Linked DNA regions of Pelodiscus sinensis. The protein of the gene in region 1 purifies or fractionates together with the protein of each later gene. This does not show direct contact. Links are inferred from orthologs where the notes say so. Each region holds a gene or a part of one and is shown in the gene's direction. Other genes may lie near its edges.

Region 1 (7,533 bases):
CCACATGCTGCTCTCACTCTGAGCACCAACTCTGCAGCTCCCATTGGCCAGCAACTGCAGTAATAGGAACGGTGGGGGCAGCCACTGCAGGCAACATGCAGGCCTGTGGACAGAGGCCATTCCTGCACACTCCCCCCGCAGGAGCTTTCAGGACCAGCATGGAGCCAGGGAGCCTGTCTTAGTTTCACTATGCCACTGACTGGGAGCCACCTGAGGTAAGTGCTACCTGGCTGGAGTCCCCACATCCTGAGCCCCCTTCCAGAGCCCAGACCCCCTCCTGCACCAGACCCACTGCCCAAGACTAGAGCCCTCCCATCCTCTGAACCACACCCCCTCCTGTACCCTAACCACTTGCCCCAGCCCACTGAAAGTGAAGGAAGAGTGAGGTAGGGGAAATGGAGTGAGCAGGCAGGGCCTCTGAAGGGGCATACTGGGGCAAGGAGTCTGAGTTTGTGCCATTAGATCAGTTTCTCCCAACCAGGGTTCTGCGGAACTCTGAGGTTCCGCAGACCATGGTCAGGGGTTCCACGAGAAATCATGGTATAAATAAATACAAATTTTGAAATACTGTGAACAATTCCAAATATCCCTCGAAATATCGCAGGAATTTTTGTCCGGCAATTGGCAATACTAGAGTAATCTTCGTAGGCTACCAACTGCCTCTTTGTTTTGGTCAGTTTGTATCTAAGGTTATATTTAGTTGTATTGTGCCTGCCCTTCCACTTACCAGAATTCTCTGCATTTAGCAGTAATGAATTGCACTCCCCACTGTCAACTATTTTTGACCACACAAACGTTTTCCTAGGTAGGGGTTCCTCGGGATATGAAAAATTATTTTAGGGGTTCCTCCATAGGAAAAAGGATGAGAATCACTGCATTAGATAGTTGTCAACCTAAATGGATTCCACCAATTTCTCCCTTACACTCATCCACTCATATGCTGGGATAGAAACTCGAATCAGATGTTACAACAGGGGCTAAACCTAGGACCCCACAGCATAGAATAGTATGTAGGAACTATGTTGTGCAGAAAAATGCCTCAGTGAGATAGATGCCAGCTCCTTCCCACTGCAGGAAAAGAAAGAGAGGAGCAGGTGCAGTCTCTGGAGGACATTATTCATCATTCTTGCACTGCAGGTTTTGGGTAGTCAGAGTCTAAAACTGATGGGGAACCTTTTTGAGTCGGGGCCACTGACCCACAGAAAAATCAGTTGGGGGGTTGCACAAAAGGAAGAAGCAAACAAAAACAAAACAAACAAAAACCTCACAGTTCACTGTGGTAGCCTCCAACTGAGAAGCAGACTCTTCCCACAATCCCCTTGTACATCAGAGCCTGGGGGTTTAAGCTAGTAGATTTTGTGGGGCCCCCAAACTCTGAGGTGAGGCTAAAAATGAGAGGTTCAGTGTGTTTGAGAGGGCTGCCTGGAAGCATGCATTGGATGTGGGGTCTGGTAGGGTGGTGAGGCTGGGCAGGAAGTAAGATGCAGAAGTGGAGTGAGGGTACAGGATCTGGGTGGGAGTGGGGGTACAGGAGCAGGCTGGAGATTGGTAGTGGAGAGTCTGGATGGGAGGGGGTTCAGAAGCAGGGTGGAAGTGGAGGGTCTGGGAAGGAGGGGGTGCAGGAGCGGGCTGGGGGTAAAAGATCTGGACAAGAGGGGGGTCCAGAAGCAGGAGTGAGTGCGGGGTTTGAGCGATGGGGGGCACTTAACTGGCACAGCTCCCCAGGAATGCACAGGGTTCGGTGTCCCCTGCTGCTCCTATTGGCTGTGAGTATAGCCAATCAGAGTAGTGGGAGAAAATTCTCCAGGCAGCAGGGAGAATGGAAATGGCAGCATGTGGAGTCATTTCTTTCCCTCCCCCAGGCAGAGCCCCTGAGTTGAATCTGGCCTTCCCTTGCCTAACTCTGTCCCCCAAGGCTCCGGGCTCCCAGCTGCTGGGGGTGGAGTCCTGGGGATCAGTTCCCCACTCATTGTCTAAAAGTGACCCTGCTTCACCCCTGGGGCCATCGGTTCCCCACCCATTGTCTAAAATGCAGGTGGGTAATAAGCAGCCTGCGGACCAGACACAGTTTCCTGGCAGGCAGGGACACTTTATTTACCTGCACATCCACTGGAATGGCTGCTTGCAGCTCTCTGTGGCTGTGAATTGCTCTCTCAGCTACTGGGAGCTGTGGGAAACTGTCCTGGCATGCATCGCTTCCAGCATCTCCCATTGGTCAGGAATAGTGATCCATGGCCAACAGGAGCTGTGACCCACTGTACCTGTAGATGTGCAGCTAAACAAAGTGTCTGGTAGTCTGCCAAGAACTAACCCTGGCAAACTGCATCCAGTCCATGGGCTGTTTATTGCCCAATGTGGTCTAAAAACAAGGATAAATACCCTACACAAGGGCTGCAGGCATAGGCAGAAATTTTGGTGATGTCCAGAATGCCAGAGCCTGCACTCTAATGGCACTCACGCTCTTCCTCCTCCAACTGTTTAAGGCTCTGAGAGGGAATTTGGGTGCTATGTGCAGGCTCTGGGTCGGCACAGGAGATACAGGCTCTGGGATGGAGTTTGGGTACAGGAAAGGTGAGGCGCTGGAGGGATTTGGGGTGCAGGAAATCTGGGGGTACAGGCTTTGGGAGGGAGTGTGAGAGTTGAGGCACAGGGAGAGCATTTGGGGGCTGAAAGAGGAATCCAGGGGCAGGACAAGCCCCTATAAAGTACTGTCTAAGGCTGCAGGAATTCTATTCTCCTAACCAAACTTGCTGATTAGGACGGGGGTCTCAAACTCACAGCACTGGGAGCCATCTGCACCTGAGCAGTTCCACAATCTGGCCCATGCACAGTTGCTGGCATGTGATTCTCTGTGGCCCTTAGATGGTGGTCATACCCTTCCCGCAAATCCAGTCCCTGCTCTGCCCTCTCCCCTCCATTGCACCCCTTACCTCAAGCCTCTTCCCCTGAGCTATGTGGCCTTGGGGATTACCAGAGGGCCTAATGCAGGGAGGAAGATGGGGTCCCCTGCACTCACTGCAGTGACAGGAGCTTTAAGAAAGCGAAGCAATGCAGAAACTGCTCTGCTCCACTGCCATCTCCCAGGTCAGCCCTGTCACTCTGCTTCACCTTAGCAGCAGAAAGTGGAGTGCCCCAATACGGGACTGGCCTGGGAGATGGGGGTAGACCAAAACAGGCTGCTGCTCAGTTCCACTCCCCACAGGTCCTATTGCTGTGGTGAATGTAGGGACAGCCTGCCCAAGTCCCCACAAGCTAACCTGAGTACCTTTGCACATACCTCCCCAAGGCCACAGAGACATACCTGCAGTGGCCCAGAGCTAACATCTGGAAGCCATTCTAGTCCCGCTGCCTTACCTGTGGTGGCAGCTGGGGATGGGGCTTAAATCAGCAAGGGGACAGTCAGAGCTAGGGGATTCATAGGAGGGGGAAGGAGTGTGCAGGGCAGCAGGTGAGGCAGGGGGAGAACATGTGCCGACCTCTCCCCCTGCAGCTCTGCCAGACTGAAGTGCCCACTAGGAAGATATGAGGACTGGCACTGGCCCTAATATAAACTGAGTTTGAAAGCCCTGGGTTATGGTCTCTGCAGCAGCCAGAAAGCTGAGAGTAGCAAATTTGCATCTGCTACCTCTTCCTTCTCCTCTCCATTTAGGGCCTCCTCCCTAGTGACTAACTGCTGCAGGGCTGCCTTCTGCTATTGCTCATCGCTTCGTCCCGCTGTAGGTTTCTTTCTTTATAGCAGCCACCGTCCATACCGAAGTTTAACTTAGCAGCTGAGGTACTGGCTCAGCTGCCCGCGGAGCCGGGCAGGCAGCGCTGCCCCCGGCTTAATCCTGCGGGAAAGCGCCGAAAGGGGGGTTTCTCCACAACTGCACGCTAGAAACTTCTTTGCCTGCTGCGGGAGGAATGGGTGAGTGCGGCGGCGGCTGCCTGCAGGCGCTCATGCGCCAGATCCCGCTGGCTCAGGCCCAGGGGCGGGGGCAGCAGAGGCGGAGGCGTCTCCCGCCGCTGTGCGCAGGATGCAGCGGCTCCGAGCCCTGCCCAGGCAGGCGCGGGGCGCGCGCGCGCGCTCCCCCTGTGTCCGCAAGGTCCCGCGCCAGGGACAAGCCGGGCTGCGGCGGCACCTCCGAGTTCGGAACGTCACACGCCGGTGGCAGCGGGGAGAGAGAGAGAGAGAGAGAGAGAGAGAGAGAGAGGCACCAGTTGCCACGGCAACCAAGCCCCGCCTTCGCCCATTTCTCCCCCTCCTCACGTCAGCGCGGCCTCCCGCCGTGATTGACAGTTACCATAGTAACAGGCTTGTCCCGTCGCCATTTTGTCAGTTGGGTTTTTTTTTTTTCAAATAATTTTCCCTTCCCGCTCGAATTATAATTTTACCCAGGAAACCGTCCTCGCGGGTTTTAGGGGCTCCGTCCCTTGGCGGCGGCAGAGAGGGGACGGGGGGAGGGGGCGGCGGCGCGGGCGGGCGCGGCAAGGAGCGGTCCGGAGAACAGCCCTGGAGAAGCCGGCTCGGAAGGGGGGAGGGGGAGGAGCAGGGGGGGCGGGGAGGGAGGGGAGAGCGGGCGGGCAAGTGAGCGAGGAGTTCCCGGGGGCTCGGTTCGGCGCTGCGCTCCCCCCGCCCGTCCGCCAGCTCCCTCGCTCGCGCCGCTGTCTGCGAGCTGCCTGGCCGGGGCTCGGGCCGCCGCCGCCACCGCCGCGTCCGGGCCCGGCTGCCGCCGGTGGCTGCGCAGGTTTGGAACGCGCGCCATTTTGTGAGCGATAGAAAATCTGCCCGGCCAGGAAGCGCCGCGGATCCGCCCGCCGGGCCGGGCCCCCCCCCCGACTCCCCGCGAGAGGGAGGCGCGTTGCAGGCTCCCTCCGGGGCCGGGGCCCCGCGCCACAACCGGGGCCCGAGGGCGGCGGGACTGGCGGAGCGGACGCGCTGCGGTGCTGGGACTCTTGGCCGAGGCGGGGGAAGCGCCGGGCTCAGCCGCTGCCGCCTCCCCGCAGCTCGCGAGAGGAGGCCTCTGCCGGGACCGGCCCCCGACGGCAGCCGGGCAGGAGAGCAGAGGCCGCCGCCGCCCCCACACGGGTAAGTGCCCTGGCGCCGGCTCCGCTAATGCCGGCCCCTCGACGCGGGGACAGCCCCGCTGCCATCTTAGAGCAAGGGGCCGGGGAGTCCCCGCCCCAGCTTGCCGGGCCGGGCCCGCTGCACCCGCGCCGCCCTGGGGAGGCTGGGTCTGGCCGGGCGGCCGCAACACCTTTTTCTCCCTGGCATGAAGGTGTTGGGCTCTGCGGCCCCCGCTGCCCGGCCAGGGCTGCTCTTGTCGTTCTGGTCCCGGGGGCTGGGAGAGCGGGGCGATGATCCCGGCTGCGGAGTGGGAAGGGGATGGCAGGACTCTCCGGCTGTGACCTTATGGTAGGTGAGATGGGTCGGGCTCTTCCGCAGCCCCCTAGGCCGGGAACGAGTCAGAAGTTGAACAGAGCAGGCACCTGTTGTGGTGGTGGGCTGAAGTGCCCCGTCTGCACTCGGGTTCGCGATTTCTGTGTCAGGTGTGGAAGTTGGAGGTGGGGATGGTGGGAATACTTGTCACGTTACTGTCATTTTGGAAAACCCACAGAGTGCACGTCTTCTAGTCGTTAGCTAGCTGCAGTGTTTGGCTGTGTTGCTAAAGAAGCTAGAAAACATACATCATGCATTTGAGATAATAAACGTTTTTGCTGTAAAGCAGCTCTTTTGCTAACAAAGTCCAAAACTGCAACTAAAGTACTGTAACTAGACATTCCAATAATGATGTGTTTCTGACTCTCTCAGCTGTGTAGTTTCTAGTTTAGTCTTTCCAAGGACTGTGTAAGGATTCTTTGATCAAGAATCTTGAATGCTGGTGCTGCTTAGCTTTCATTATTCTCCAGTCATCAGGAAAAAATCAAACGGAGGTGTTTTTAGCTAATAAATAGAGAGAACTTGTTAAAAATCGACAAGGATAAAATATATGACTTATTTGCATCCCAGAGATAACGTGCAGATAAAATGGTATGTGTTTCCAAACACTTGCAAGTATTACAGTCACTTTTAAATGGACAGTGCTCAAGGTTCTGTACAAATAGAAATTAACTATTTTTATCATTATATTGCTATCAGGTTGTTTTTTTTAACTTATTCCAAATGAAGCTTCCTTAAGAATCCGGAAGTATTCTGATAAATCCTCATTTTTGGTAACTGCAGAATACTGTTGAAATAATTATACTCTTTTGGGTCTGATGTGTTAGTAACTACATTCCAGTATTTGAATGTTAAATGTTACTAGTCTGATTACTGGTTTTCATGTGTTCAGCGAATTTATTAAATATATAAATTGTTCTGTAGATTGGTTTTGGTGTCATCAGCTCATATGAAGAGGTACCTGCAACAAGGGTGTTTTCTATATTTGAGGTTTAATGTAATTGATATAAAGTGTGCATAAGTTTTATTTTTTCTTTCTATTACTTTTTTTGGCATTTATCGTAAGTGTCTAACTTAACAGTGCTTCATACCTGTATCTTGAAGTTAATGTGCAAAGTGAATGCATCTGGTTTAGAAGTTGAATGAAAGAGAGCAATTAGTTTTATAGCTTTACAAAAGGAACAGTTTCTTATTTCTAGATACTGTACAAGTGTTTGCTAAATAAAAAGTACTTTGATATCGTTTCCAGGCTAACAAAAATATGGTAGGACACAATTTATGTCAGTAACTTTATTATATTTACTGAAATAAGATTTGTGTAGGTTTTGAACTTATCTTGTTTTTTAGTGGCCAATTTGAGTAAAGAAGAGTGAGTGAGGATGGTTTTAGTAAGTAGTAGAGGCAAGGAGATTTCTCTGATACTTGTGCTTCAAAAAAGTCCAACGACATGCCAATAGTATTCACACTATGTGTAAGGTGATAGTGATGTGGTCTGTTAAGCATCTGTCTTTTTTTTGAAAGTTTTGGGCTCTGTGTAGATGTTAGCACATGTTAGGTAATGGTCTGGACAAGATGCACTAACTTGACAAGTTTAGCCTGTATTATAAAGCAATTTAACTTGTCTAGACTAGACTTTTTAAAATGGTATGTGTTTTCTAACATGGTAGTACCCCATCTTTAAATCTTAGTCTAGAAAAGGGTTTAAAGAGAAACTTTTAACTGAATTGAAACATTTAGACTGTCTCAACAGGTGAAAGAGTTGTGAGGTCAATTATGGTAACTCGAATGAGCAAAAACAAAAAGGTAGGATATGTATATAGTGTGGTGCTTTTTGCTACAAGAATGTCTGTTTGAGAGCTTTCCTATTGAAAACTTTCCTAATTTTGTGGTGTGGGGTTTTTGTTGTGTGTGGTTGTAAATCTATGAGAAAGTAAGTAAACAAGTAGTTCTGATAAGGGGAATATGTTCTTTTTCACTGGTTATTGGAAGGAGAGAGGAATTATCTCTAGTATATATTGTGCTGATCTTTTAATAACAATTTCTGACCTGATCTGTAAACTCCTCAGAAACAACTAAGCATGCCATGCAGAGAGAATATAAGTGCAATATTTCCC
Region 2 (7,271 bases), on another chromosome or scaffold:
TGGACCAGCATGGGTGGTAGGGGGAGCAGGGAGAGACCAGCCCCCTTTGGAGCCAGTCTGACACCTGCCCTCCCTGCTGTGGCCAGAACGAGGCGCTGCTGCGCCAGATGCGGGAGCTGGAGGACCAGTATGGGGTGGAGCTCGGCAGCTACCAGGACACGGTGGGGCGGCTGGAGCAGGAGATCCGGCACATGAAGGAGGAGATGGCGCGGCACCTGCGCGAGTACCAGGACCTGCTCAATGTCAAGATGGCGCTGGACATCGAGATTGCCACGTACCGCAAGCTGCTGGAGGGCGAGGAGAGCCGGTGGGTGCAGCGCTGGGGGCACAGCTCTCCCAGCATCTGTTGCGAGAGGGTGGGGCTGTTCCCGCCCCCCCTCCCGCCCCCCCTCCCATCCCCCCGGGGAGGGCTGGGGAGTGGAGGATAAGCAGGGTCCTACCACTCACTGTACTTTTTGACCCTCCCTAGGATCTCGATCCCCATCCACTCGCTGGCCTCCTACAGTGTGAAAACTTCAGGTAAGTGCGTGCCAGATATGGAGGGGGGGATCCCCCTGTGGGTACCTTCCCCAGGAGTCTCACCCCTCCCCGGTCAGTTGTCGTGGGCTCCCCACATCTCTCCCTAGGTACCTGGGGAGTTGCTGGCCTCTGCCATTGTGTGGGGTTGGCCTGGGAACTGACGGGTTGCGGCAGATCCATATGGCCAGCAGTACAGCCCATTGGGGGATCTTCCCTGGGGGACCCCTGCTGTGACCAGAGTCTATTGTCCTGGGGCACACCCACCCCAGGGCATGGAGGCCTCACCTGGGGATTGGGGGTTCAGTGGCTGCAGCCACTTCCCTTCTCATGGCCTTCCTGTACCCCCTGCTAGCACCTGAGCCGGAGCAGACTGTGGAGAGCCACACCAGGAAAACCGTTCTGATCAAAACCATTGAGACCCGGGATGGAGAGGTGAGTTTCCTCCCTGCCCCCCCTTGGGACATGGGGGTGAGGAGAAGAGAAGAACAGGGAGTAGTCAGCCTGGAGTGTGCCAAGCCTAGGGTAGCGGGGGCTTGGGGGAGAAGCTCAGGGCATGCCTAGGCCTGTGAAGGTTCCCGGGGCGTCCAGCTGTCATTCAGACCCAGCATTACAGGAGCATGCAGAGAAAGTGATGTCTAGCAGTTGGCGCTGGGAGGCAGGACTCCTGGGTTCCGTACAAAGCTATGGGGGAACATGGGTTAGTGGCTAGAGCGGGGTTCTGCTCCTACCCCTGCCCCTCTGTGCTGGGCAGCAGGCTCAGGGGCTTGTGGGCAGGCCTCCAAGATCCTCCATGGCAGGGAATGTAGCCAGGCATGGGCTGAATGGGATCTAACCGTGGGCTCTCTGTTCCATCCTGCCCCCCGCCCCGCTAGGTAGTGACTGAGTCAAGTACGGAGCAGAGCACTGATGTGGAGAAGTGATCCTGGTGCTGGGCCGCTGCCCTGGACCGAGGCGACAGTGTGAAACTGACTTGTAGAAGCCACTGCGAGACCCCTGCTGCACCTGCCCTCCCCCCAGCCACACTGGCCTTATTACTACAGATACCTCTGACAGCTCTGCTGCACTGCCCCGTGCCTCCAGCCCGCCTACCCTCGTGGTGTGCCCAGAGCACCGAGAGCACAGCAATACCCACTCACAGCCCAGGGCAAGGAGGAGAGGGGCCCTGCCTCCAGCTCTCCCCATCCCTCTGCCCTCTCACTGCATGCTGTTTCCCCGATCTCTCCCCCATCCTGTGCTTTTGGCTCTGGGCTGGTTTTTCCTTCCCTGCTCTACCGTTGGGCGTGACTGACCTTCCCAGACTACGTGTACTGAGCCACAGGGCTGTGGTTAAACAGAGTAGGATCCTACACCCCCTCCAGCTACAGCCTAGGCCATGCGCTGCCTATACAGATCCCAAGACCACTCCCACGTCCCTAGAGCAACTGCTGTGAGCATTCCGCAGAACCGGTCCTCCTCCGTCCCATCATGTTTCCAGCCCCAAGGCAGAGGCTGCCTGAGTTTGGTACCAAAGAGGAGTCTGCTCCTGAATTGGACTCCACAGAGGAGTTGTCCTCGTTCCACTACCAAAGCAGGATGCTGGCCCCTGGCAGCTGTGCCTCGGGCTGCTGCCCAGCAGTGCTCCTAGTAGCAGAGATGCCTGTTGGAGTGGTGATACCAAGATCTGACTGCAATTCTGTGTTGGCTGGTCTCCAGCCCAAACACAGCCGGGCCCCCTGATTCCCAAAGCTCTGTTTTAGTACAGAAGAAACGAATTGCAGGGACTGCTCAGCAGGGCTGGATTCCTACCCCTGGCACTTGCAGCCTGGATTCCTGCTCCCTGGGTACAATCCCAGTATGCCTGGCAGATGGGGAAGCTGTTCCTAGTCCCAGTGCTGCTGTCTCTAGTGTTAATTCTCCTGGATGCTGCAGCATATCCTGTTCTGGCATTGCCTAGAGCTGCCATCAGCTCTAGACAACAGGGCTGAGTGAGCCTGGGGATGAAGGGGGTGAGTAATACCTAGGCCCAGTTGCTGAGGGTGAAGGCCCTTGTGCCCAGGGTACTAGTCTAATAGTGACAGCCCAGTCCTGTCCTGGAGTGTCTCTCCCTAAGGAGGCCTGCTGTGGTGCTGAGTCTCCATTCTCATTTTGATAGGGATCCCCGCCTGTCCATTAGCACTTGTGTTGCTTTGATTTTTGGACACATGCTTAGTTGTCAGGGCCTGAGAGGGAAAGAGTTTCTTCTGGGGCCTTTCAACCCTGGCTCCACTGCTGGAACAGATGTGTGGAATGATGTTTCCTGCTGCTATCCCAGCTCAGGGGAGAGTCCTGAGCCCCATACTGGCTGCTGATACTCAGCCCTGCTTCTAAGCAGGCAAGTCCTAAAAGACTGTGCTCCACTATCATTCCCACATTTCTGTCCTCTGGCCGCCTTCCCTCCACGCAGTGCCTCTGACTTTCAGACCCACTTTCCTTGCCTTAGCTCTGCCTTCGTTAACCAGGGGGCTGCGATAGGATCTCTCACCCTGCTGGACCAAGACACACGGGAGGCTGTGAGCATAGTTGCTTTGGTGCTCCTGGGTCTTCCCTGATCTGCCTGAATGGTGACACTGGCCCAGTGCTCGGCCATGGTGTTGAATGTGTCCTGTCCTGCTTTTCCAGCCACTAAAGGTCATAGCGAGGAATGTGCGTGTCTGCTTCTCATCTATGCCTCCTTATCCCACCGTCTGAGATCTCCACCTTCCAGTGGCTGAGTGTGGTGGGAGGGCAGGGGAAGAGACCTCAAATTCGACCCTCATTGGCAGTGCCAACCAGAGGGCTGAGCTGTCGGCTCTTAGCCTTAGTGGACAAGGGGGGCTATCCAAATTAACCTCACTCTGCTTGGACCTAGCAAACCTCCCACTGGGAGGCGGCCAGCCGCCCTGCTTGTCCCTTCGAAAAGGTGCTGGGGGTAATGGGTGAGGGGGAGCTTGTCCAGGCTGTGCCTGTAAGGGTGGGAAGAGGTTGGCTTCAGACTAGGCCCCCCAAACTGCTGCCTACATGCGCACGAGTGCCTGTTTGCCCCTTCCGCTCTGCTCTCGTCCTGGGCCAGCTCCCCACTTCCGGGGAGGAAGGCGTCCAGGCGGGTGGAGCTGTAACCCTGCAGCCCAGGGAGGCGGGAACACAGGGAGTTGTGGACACAGCAGCGCCGTGGGGCTGAGTAAAGTGATGCCTGGGTGGCAAGACCTTGGACCACGGCATGACGTGGCACCGTGGCACGTGGCTGCTGTCTGACGTGGCACCGTGGCACGTGGCTGCTGTCTGACGTGGTACCCTAGGGGGAGCCCTCGCAGGGGGGGGCACCTGTGGCTGACTCCAGCTGGTGAGGGGGGGGCATGATCCAGGGCCCTCAGGGGAGGGGCTGAATTTCCCCAGCTTAGCTCCTGTCTTCAGCCCCCCCACCCTCGGAGGACTCCCCCCTCCCCCCCCCCAGCCCATGAGCCCACCGCTCTACCCATGCACGTCTCTATGGTCTAGCCTCACCCCCCCCCCCCATAACTCCCTTCAGCTCAGATCTCGCGAGACATCAACTTCAGCTGGGCGAGTGCGCCCCGCCTCCCCCGCGCCTGATAGGGCAACACGGGCGATGACAGGCAGCGGCTTTGGACAGCGCCGACCAATCCGTCCCCGCAGCTCCGGCTGTCGCCCGGGCCCCGCCTCCCTTGCTCCCGATTGGCTCTCTCTCCGCCGACTCCGCCTCCAGCTGGAGGAAGGTGGCCAATCAGCTCCCTTGGTGTTTTACAAACCGGCGGCGACCCGCAGAGCGGCTTTACCCGGCCCCGAGCGGAGCGGATGCGACTGAGCCCAGGTGGGGGCGGGCGAGCTTATGAATGGGGGAGCGCGAGGGTATCCGAGGGGTCCCTGGCTGGGGGGGGCCGGGGGGCGCAGAGGGGGTGCTCCTATGGGTGATGGGCTAGGATTTTGGGGGGGCTTGATGGGGTGCGCACCCCGGGGAGGGTGTGTGGGTGTAGGGGGGGCCCCGGGGGGTGCTCCTATGGGTGATGGGCTAGGATTTTGGGGGGATGGTGGGGCACGCACCCCGGGGAGGATGTGTGGGTGTAGGGGGGGACCCCGGGGGGGTGCTCCTATGGGTGATGGGCTAGGATTTGGGGGGGGCTTGATGGGGTGCGCACCCCGGGGAGGGTGTGTGGGTGTAGGGGGGGACCCCGGGGGGGTGCTCCTATGGGTGATGGGCTAGGATTTGGGGGGGGCTTGATGGGGTGCGCACCCCGGGGAGGATGTGTGGGTGTAGGGGAGGCTCCGGGGGGGGGTGCTCCTATGGGTGATGGGCTAGGATTTTGGGGGGATGGTGGGGCACGCACCCCGGGGAGGATGTGTGGGTGTTGGTGAGTCTGTAGGGGTTGGGGGGCCCCTGTGGGGCGGGGTGCTGCTGAGCTCCCTGACAGCCCTGGGGTTGGGTGTGTCTCCAGGCTGTGGCTCATCAGGTGGGTCCCTGGGGCCCAGTGGAGGGGGGGGGTGCTGAAAAGGCTGTGGGCAGTCATGGGCAGTACAGAGCGGGCTGGGGGGCGGCGGAGATCGCGAGGGGGTGCAGACTCCAGGACCTTGTTGGCCTTGCTCCTTGGGGAGTGGGGGAGTCTCCCCTAGGGGCTGTGGCGTTAAATGCCAGGGAGAGAGCCAGGGACTGATGCCGAACCTTCACTACTGTCGCTCCCTGGCTGGCCCAGCGATCCGGGCTCTGTGCTGCAGTGTTAAATGCAGGCTCCTTGCTTTGGGCTGTAGCCAGTCCCCCAGCCAGCTCCGGAGGGACTCCGCGCTGGTTATTGCTGCCAGCCTAGCTCTAGCCACGGGGCCTGACTTGAAGAACCTGCGAAGGGGTCTCCTCTGGCCTGGTGGGGAGGTGGTGATGCACTCTGGTTGCATTGCAAGGCCGTTCATCTCCTGGGAGCATCTCTTTCTCCAGGTGCAAATGCCAGGAAAGGTGCTGCAGTGCTGAGTGGTGCAGCTGTCAGAAATGGCGCAGATTGGGAAGGGTCCAGAAGCGGTTTCCTTTGCCCGCCCACCACGGGGCAAGTGGACAGGCAGCTGTTCCCCCGCCAGGAGCGGACCACAGCCAGGGAAGGAGAATGAACCATCTGCCTGGGATGGGTCAGGTGCACAGAGCTGCAGCAAGATCCCTGTCCTAGCCAAAAGCCGCCTGCCCCCAGACTTCCAGCAACTGCACCAGACCTGGGAGAGCCAGAAGGTGAATGGCGGGTGAGGGGGAAGGTTTGGAGCCCTACCGTAGACCAGCCGCAGAGCATAAGTTGTTGGCTCTCCCTATGCTTGGGGGATAGCATCAAGGGAAAACACCTAGGCTGTGTCTACACTGGGACACTTATTCCGGAAAAGCAGCCGCTTTTCCGGAATAAGCTGCGAGCTGTCTATACTGGCCCCTTGAATTTCCAGAAAAGCAGTGACGATTTACTGTAAGAAATCAGCTGCTTTTCCGGAAAAACTATGCTGCTCCCGCTCGGGCAAAAGTCCTTTTTCCGGTAGACAGCACAGTAGTCTTTTCCGCAAAAAAGCCCCAATCGCGAAAATGACGATCGGGGCTTTTTTCCAGAAAAGCGCGTCTACATTGGCCACGGATGCTTTTCCGGAAAAAGGGCTTTTCCGGAAAAGCATCCTGCCAATGTAGACGCTCTTTTTCCGGAAATACTTATAATGGAAAACTGTTCCGTTTTAAGCATTTCCGGAAAAAGGTGCCAGTGTAGACACAGACTTAGGGCGTGGTTGAGATACCGCAGGGGCCTCTCCGCCAGGCTGGCAAATGAGGATCTAGGCTTCAGGCACACTTATCCTGCTTGGGGGTGGGAGCTGGTACCCTCTTCTCTCTTGCAACATGCTGGCTTCCCAAACCGGGTTCTGGTGCCTCCTTACCACCACTGAGTCACAGACCCCCTCTTAACTGGGGCAGACCAAACTCTGGTGCCAGGGAAGGGCAGAGTGAAGTGTTAACTGTCCAGCACATTAGCTGTTGATCAGAGCTTAAAATGCCCCTTGGGGCACTTGTTAGCAGAGAATCCAACTGGTGCACCTGAGTCTGGCTGGTCCTGTGTTCTTTGTGATGTCCCCTCTTTGGATCATTGTGTTTTGGCTGTGATCCTCTGGCAGAGATGAGACCAATCAGCTTTCAGGGTGTTCCAAGCCCCTCCTCTTCTCCCTCTTGCTGGGGTGCTGGGCTCCATGGCACAAAATAGCCCACATTTGTTGTGCTGCAGCTTTGAGTGATTTTTTCCCTGTTGCCCTGACAGCCTCAGGGCTATGGATGGTCTGGTGGAGTGCTCCGAGTGTCAGAGAGATGGGTCTACAATCTGTGTTGAAATGAACAGGGTGTTGTGTGGAGAGGAGGGAGGGAGGCAAACCCCTGGGGTCTGTACTTGGCTTTAGGACAGAGAGCGTGGTGTTCAGGGCAGGCACTGGGAATCCGGCCTCCTGGGTTCCATTCCCACCTCAGTGACTCTGTGATGTCAGGCAAGTTGCTTCCTTTCTAAGTGCCTCAGTTTCCCCCTTCCCCATAGGGATGTGCCTCTTCCTACTTATGCTTGTGGCAGCAGGTAAAGCCCAGGCCGGCTCGCCACACTGCCAAGAACGGGCCACCACATCCAAGCTGGTGGCTGCCGGGCAGTGAAAGGCTCCAGCAGCTCCTCTGCGCATGTGGGAGGCACCACTTGGGTGGGTAGAGCCATGTAGGGGACGTGCCTGGGGGGATGGGGTGTACATGGCTTGCTTCTTGC

The links. Proteins that work in one complex are often made in the same cells at the same time.
Region 2: the proteins of DYRK1A (region 1) and TROAP purify together in Homo sapiens (affinity purification with mass spectrometry; 6 studies listed by BioGRID and IntAct, with this or other methods). This does not show direct contact. The link is inferred for Pelodiscus sinensis from reciprocal best matches to the Homo sapiens genes DYRK1A and TROAP.

What each region holds. Positions count from the first base shown.
Region 1 is NC_134711.1:186,526,522-186,534,054, forward strand, and holds the start of DYRK1A (dual specificity tyrosine-phosphorylation-regulated kinase 1A), read left to right. Parts: upstream 1-4,518; 5' UTR 4,519-5,068; intron 5,069-5,126; exon of another isoform or gene 5,127-5,395; intron 5,396-7,533. UniProt on the Homo sapiens protein: Dual-specificity kinase which possesses both serine/threonine and tyrosine kinase activities. Exhibits a substrate preference for proline at position P+1 and arginine at position P-3.
Region 2 is NC_134729.1:4,785,586-4,792,856, reverse strand, and holds the start of TROAP (tastin), read left to right. Parts: upstream 1-4,220; 5' UTR 4,221-4,342; intron 4,343-5,455; 5' UTR 5,456-5,506; coding exon 5,507-5,737; intron 5,738-7,271. Other genes in the region: PRPH (peripherin), read left to right, coding at 87-307, 470-519, 872-951, 1,392-1,439. UniProt on the Homo sapiens protein: Could be involved with bystin and trophinin in a cell adhesion molecule complex that mediates an initial attachment of the blastocyst to uterine epithelial cells at the time of the embryo implantation.